2 linked regions of the Drosophila melanogaster genome follow. The protein of the gene in region 2 purifies or fractionates together with the protein of the main gene of each other region. This does not show direct contact. Each region holds a gene or a part of one and is shown on either strand. Other genes may lie near its edges.

Evidence for each region.
Region 1: the proteins of CG14507 (region 2) and CG34132 purify together in Drosophila melanogaster (affinity purification with mass spectrometry, with the first as the bait; one large-scale study listed by BioGRID). This does not show direct contact.

Annotation. Positions count from the first base shown.
Region 1 is NT_033779.5:7,883,490-7,886,753, reverse strand, and holds CG34132 (uncharacterized protein), read right to left. Parts: upstream 1,252-3,264; 5' UTR 1,106-1,251; coding exon 950-1,105; intron 878-949; coding exon 779-877; 3' UTR 645-778; downstream 1-644. Other genes in the region: small ribonucleoprotein particle protein SmE, read left to right, coding at 1,411-1,695; CG7102 (uncharacterized protein), read left to right, coding at 57-219, 284-446, 1,966-2,099, 2,173-2,843, 2,926-3,217.
Region 2 is NT_033777.3:29,225,770-29,229,526, reverse strand, and holds CG14507 (uncharacterized protein), read left to right. Parts: upstream 1-1,801; 5' UTR 1,802-1,849; coding exon 1,850-2,301; intron 2,302-2,590; coding exon 2,591-3,260; 3' UTR 3,261-3,323; downstream 3,324-3,757. Other genes in the region: Brd8 (bromodomain containing 8), read right to left, coding at 3,339-3,757.

The DNA of each region.
Region 1 (3,264 bases), on a different chromosome or scaffold from region 2:
CAGTTGGTCACTTAATTAATTTGTCTTGCCTTTCCATTCACTCAATTCGATTTCAGGTGCAAGAGCTTCAAGACTGCGAAGAGAGGTGAAGTGTGTCGAATTCCCGGATGCACAGTATCGCCAGCAGCCCCAGGAGCTTCAACTCCGACCACCATACGATTACCACACGTGAATCCGGAACTATTCAGGCAGTTCATCTTGTACGTTTACACCGCAAAGGTAAGAAAACTACTTATTAGTAACATCTAACATAATAAAATTATAACCAAAATTCATTTTTCAGTTGGTTCTCCAGGACTCGCAAGTATTTCAAATGATGATATTGGCACAGGATATCGGTGTGGTTGAGCTACGAACTGCCTGCGAGGATCACGTTATATCGACATTGTCGGTGGATAATGCCTGCACATTTTTAACCGCCGTTATGGATATACACGAAAAAGCAGGTTAGTAATATTGAGTAGCTCTTTTAGAAAATCACACCTTTAAAAGTAAGCAATTATGTGAAGTTGCATATTCGCGCCAAAACACTTTATACATTCTACATAATATGCTATGTCAAATGTATTGAGACTAACCATTCTGAAAGTTTTGGTATTTTTTGTACCACATCACATATCGATAAGAAAAAACATATGCACGTTGTGTTATCAGAATCACGTAACACGCAATGCATGTTTTTATTGCATTATCAAACTTTAGATATAACAACTAATCAATAGCTGGCAGATATAGTTAGTCCCAAGCTGCTCCAAAATGCAGAAGCCGATTCGTGTGTTTAGAACTTGGATTGTTCACGTTGTATTCTTTGGCCGTACACCCGAGAAATGAGGTTCCACGAGTCCATAAACCGGTCCATGCACATGGAAATGCATTTCTAAATTGGATATTAATGAAATACTATTTAAATACATATTCTATAGTGCAAAATAAGATATGTATAGCTTGCCTGTTCGGACGAATCGAGGGAAGTTCCCGGCTTATTGACACATTTTTTGAAGCACTTTTCGGTCATTTGCGTGAGCAATTCCTGGGCATTCGCAACAGCAATCTGTTGCTTAACCTGGTCCATAAGTTCACCTTTGTCCACATTAGCCATAGCCATTTGTTTGGTTTTCTTTATAAACTATAGTTTAATTCAGCTATGAATAAATGGCAACAACTTCTGCCCAACCACAAAAACTTAACAGTGCGATTGTGATAGTGTTTCTATCGATATGGTTATGCTACCAGAGGATTTACCATTTTGGTATCTTTAGGCTGGTCGATAGTTCGGTAGGCCGCGATTATGTGTGACCATCTGTGCTGTGCCATCGATATTTCTGCCTATCGCCTGGACGAAAAGAAGACGCCGGCAAAAAGAAGCGAAAATTTGTTTAACTCAAATTAAGTCGTCGGAAATCAGCAAAAATGTCGTTCAAAGGAAATCCCAAGGTGCAGAAGGTGATGGTGCAGCCCATCAACCTGATCTTCCGTTACCTGCAGAACCGGTCCCGCGTGCAAGTTTGGTTATACGAGAACATATCGCTGCGCATCGAGGGCCACATTGTGGGATTCGATGAGTACATGAATCTGGTGCTGGACGACGCCGAGGAAGTCTATGTGAAGACCCGGCAGCGCCGCAACCTCGGGAGGATCATGCTCAAGGGCGACAACATCACGCTCATACAGAACGTCAGTCCCACGAAGGACTAGGCGACTCAGCGGCCATCCTGCGAATCCTTCGAATTCCACCTGCAAACGCTGAACGCCCTTAATATAAGTAAAATAAATGTAAAGCCGATATCTGAAGACGAATGTTGAAATAAATGGTAGACTTTCTGTAATCAAGTGTTTCTAATGGGTAAGGTAGCAAATACGATCCGATTTCAGGACATATAGAATAGGATGCTGTCTCAAGGTAAAAGCCGTTGAGTGTCTTTAAAAAACAAGGAATTAATTTTAAACTTTCCCTTTAAATTTCAGGTGCCAAATGCGCTGCCTCGTTTATGGAACGCTGCATCATCTACATAGGGGAAAATGCAAATGAGTGCGTTAAGACTAATGCCTTCCTTACTTTAACAAAGGATGCCATTATTAAGATTATTTCCTCAGACTATGTAAGAGTTTATAATGAATAACCACTCAATTTACTGAATTTCTTTAATTACCAAAACTGTTAACTACCAATAGTTCTGCTTGGAAGAGGAGGAAGTGTGGCGCTGCGTTTTATCCTGGGCCAAATACCAGGCAGGAGTCACCCAACCCACTGCACATTGGACTGAGGAGGAGCGTGCTCGTGTCTGCCAACACTTAAGCGGTGTAATGGGTCACGTGCGTCTGCTTCTCATCGATAGCCAAGTTTTCGCGGAGGAAGTGGAACCTACAGGAGCTGTACCTATGGAACTATCCCTAGAACGATATCGCTATGCCGCTTTGCATGCCAATAAGATGATGGATAACGATAAGAGACTTCAGCCCCGCCTAGCTGTAGCGGTCAACATGTTTCCCGGATCCCAAATCCTGAAGAATGACAATCTGGCACTACAGACTGTTCTCAATAATTGGGTTGGAGTGGGCAAGCAATCCTGGAGATTAGTTTTCCGAGCGTCCACTCATGGCTACGATTCTGGAGCCTTTCATCGTTATTGCGACGGCGTGGCTCCTTGCATGGTTATTGGCTTGGGATCGCATGGAGAGATCAGTGGTGGTTATACGGATGTGGCGTGGGCCAAAACAAGCCGAAAGGGGGGATATGTTCAGTCCGAGCGAGCCTTCCTCTTTGCCTTGAATCCAGCCAATGGGGAACAGCCGGTCAAGTTTGATATTGTAAAGAAACCATATGCCATTTGCTATCATCCTGAGTAAGTGATGTCTAAAATAATCTTATATATTACATTATGTTTAGGAATTCGTACTGATTACCATGTCTGCTTTCCCCTTTAGTTGCGGTCCCATTTTTGGTGCTGGAGCCGATCTGCTCATTTCCAGCAACTGTAATACAAACATGGACTCATACTCGAATCTTCCGCATTCCTACGACGGAACCAACGCTGCTCACCTGACACTTTTCGGGGACTATAACTTTACCATCACCGACTATGAGGTCTATACCCTTTCCTCGCCGGCAGGAAGTAGTAATAGTGGAGCAAATCACAGCAATAATCAGAACCTGAACCACTCAACAAACGGCCAAGCTCCTGGGGTGCCCACAAAGGCAAAATACGATAGATACTAGAATTGGGGAAACAACTTGTAGTTGCATCAGCTATGCTGGCAATAAAA
Region 2 (3,757 bases):
AAAAGTTATAGAACGCCGCTTCAGCCGCCGATCGAGTGCAAAAAACCGATTGAAAAGTAAAGAAATTTTGTTTGCAACGTAAGACACGCACGCACACACATACGCACAACCGCACGCACTCACACATGCACACGCTACTCGCTGTGTTAACAGCACTTTTCACTTTTTTTTGCACTACCAGCTGCCCGGTTTGCGGCCATTTATCGGATTCTATCGCACGCACGACGGCCAAACTCGCTGGTAGCCAATAAGCATTCGCTCTGGAGCTATTTAGTCCCGGTTTTACGTCGCTTATTACATTAAGGTTGCCTAGTGAAATTATTATATTGGAGCGGACGACTAGGGATGCAAGAGAAATAATCGATGCCTGTCGTGCCAGCGCTGGTATCGCTATCCCGACTATCGATGGTGGCCGAAAGTCGAATAGTCTCAATCGATTGGTTTTCCGATCGTATTTTATAGCGATAACAAAAGCGCAAAAATAGCGAAATTCAAACACTACAATTTTTTATTTAGGAGTTAATCAAACTAGTAACAATTTCGAATGAACCGGAAAAAATTTGTGAATGAAAGAACTTTCTTAATAAATTATTTTTAAAATGTATTAACTTTAACATAAATTTTGAGGAAGAAACTTGTTAATGATTTACATTAAGTGTCAATGAAAGTGAAAGAGGTGTGGCCCCACATTGGGCGCCAGAAACATTATCTAAATAATATACGCGTCTATCAAGAGCAGCAAAGTGATAATTAGCTCATAAATATGAATGAGCAGTTGTGTGGGCCAGCGATTAGAGTACCTAACTTCACCCACAATGCCGTATTAATATCAACTAAGTGTGCCTGCAAGTGCAATTGAGTTGTTTGCTTTGGCTTTTCCTTTCACGCGAACTGAGGCACTGAACCACTGAGGCACTGGACCACTGAACCACCAAAAACCACCGAATGGGGCGACGTAACAAAAGGGGGCGCACTCTATAAATTACCGCTGTGCAATGGCCAGTCGGCAGTGGTTAAACAAAGTTGGCTTAGCTACTTGAATGACCATATAATCTCCATGCACACGAGTGGATATATTTTATCTCCGTTGTCTGTGTGGTTTGCACACACAAATTTGCAGCTGGGAAAGCAGACCAGTCACGCAGTCGCAAATTGTTACAATTAAGGCCCACTAAAAATTGACCGTGAACTGGTTACGACTGCAGCGGATTCAATGGCTTCTAGGGCCCGACCTTCGCCTTAACTCTCAAACTTAAAGTTTTGCCCAAGTGAATAGTCACCATAAAGTGGCTTCAAATTTGTGCCACCGTTTTGGCCACCCACCAGCCCCTGGCCAACTTCACGGGCTTATTTTTATAGCCTACACAGAGAGAATCATTTAAGTCCAAGTATTTTTGAAGATTTTTCAATTAAGTTTCCTAACAACTTAATAAAGTTCCTTAAATAGTGTAAAAATGTTGTCCATCACTTGGCTTTCGAGTTTTCGTTTTTAATCATTTATTTAATACTATTCTATTATACATATTTTCTAATATGAATGTTAGAAATTCTGTGTGTAGTTGCACCAAATCTGCCAAAAAAGTATTGCCCGGTCATTGTTATTATTGTTTCTTTCTGCTCTCACTGTTCGTTTTCAGCTGCTACTTTGCTATTTGCTATTAACACGCTTTTGAGCCATTTATGCCGGTGTACTTGGCTCGCTGCTGTTGACCAACTAGCAACGAGCTACCAACTGCAAACGAGCCACTACCGCATTTCCCCCAGCCGAGCCAGCTTCAATTTTCGATAGCCGCTCGAGGCGAGCAGTTCGGCGCAGAGTGGTGGTCAGCTTGAGTTCCTGGATGCGAACATGTTGTGGATAATGGGGCTAGTAGTGGCCGCTGTGCGGCTCAATGGACAGGCGAGCGGTGCGGCAAATGTCACGGTAATCGAAGACATTAGGAGCGCCTTCAGAGGCGTCACCAACGACACGGAGCTGCTGAATCACATAATACCGGAAATGTACGGGGCGAGCATGCGCAGTGCGAATCCCTCCTTTGTCTTCAAAATGCCTAGCAAATCGAACGGCGGTGGCGACGACTTCGAGCTGCTAACAATGCAGCGATCCGATTTCGCGGAACCAATCTTCCCCAATATCAGCCAGTCGGCCACGGCCATCGATTCACCCAGTACCATTCCGCCGGAAACGAGCGTGAAGACCAGTCTCATGGTATCGCCGCAACAGGATTGGCAGCAGATGGGTCTGGATGGCTGGACGGGGGAGCTGAAGCCACCAGTAGCCTCGCTGGAGCAGGATCATAGGTGAGTGGGAGTTCCTTGGAACATTACCTATATAAAAAGATTTGGCATTTGGAAAAAGTTACTGACCAAAAGTTACTTACAAAATAAATGTCTTTCTGTTCTGGTTCATTAACTTAAATGGAATTTCTGGCTGCTGTTCTTAATTAAAGAGAAACAGCTGCTGTTCTCTAATTAATACTTTATTTTAAATTATTATTTTGCTTCTAAGATATGCTAGTTAGCTAAATGTTTCGAAACATCTAATCCATCGCAAGACAAATTAATGTTTACGCCCCAAGTCGATTTACAGGGACACTCGACCGCCGATCAGCTGGCAGAACTCGTATCCCCACGACGAGATTCGTCTGGAGTTCCAGAACCACCACTTCGATGGCCGGGTGACGGACATACGCGTGATAACACAAACAACTAGTAAACCAGCTGAGATGGAGGACCTGATGAATGTTCAGAATGTGTACATAGCGCGGGTAAACGATCCCTTCGGTTACTCCATGAAGTGGAGCTTCACCAACGACAGCAGCCGGGAAAAAGAGCTTTTGCCGGAGGGAGATCGCGGAAAGAGGGACGTTGCTCGGCTGTACTCCATGATCAAGTGCTCCACGGGCTGTGATCCGCTGATCTACAAGGGCTACGGCTGCTACTGCGGATTCGGTGGCCACGGAGTGCCCGCCGATGGCATCGATCGCTGTTGTCGCGTGCACGACAAGTGCTACGGTCAGAGCAACTGCATCTCCTATCTGGAATACTTTGTGCCCTACGTGTGGAAGTGCTACCGCGGCAAGCCGCTGTGCGCCGTCGATCATGGCGAGTTCGGTGGCCCCGACTCCTGTGCCGCTCGTCTCTGCCAATGCGACCTGCGGCTTTCCAGGTGCCTCAAGAGGTACTACTGCCCACACCGACGCTCCATTTGCCACTCGTCCAGATCTCGACGCTTACAGAACCTAATATTCTTCGATTGATGTTTATTGTTAATGCATGTAGCATGTAAGTTCCAAAATGAAATGCATAAATGAATACGTGTGAAAAGTTAAGTGAGCCTAGTGATGCCTTTGGCTCTTTCGGGAGCCGCTCCTGGCCTTGCTTCCGCTCGATTTATCCGCTCGCAAGCTTCCCGTGTTGCTCACCGGCGTGGCCGTGATCCCTGCCTGCACGTCCGGCAATTGGGAGAACTCTTTGATCGCCTGACAGTCCTGCACGAACAAACGCGCCGTTTTGTGCTGAGCCGTGTGTGGTTTGTAGGCCACCAAAACGTTGTGGGCCATGAGCAGGACATCCCTGTGCAGCTCGCTCAAGCTGCGAATGAATCCCGAGTCGATGTTCCGCTTGATGGTGGGGAAATCCATGGGGCGTAGGCATAGATCCGCATGTCGCTGGGCGTGCTCGTCGTGGAAGGGACGCTTAAAGGGAGCCGCATGCTTGCTGTCCAGCAACATGGCATAAATGGACAGGAAGAGCT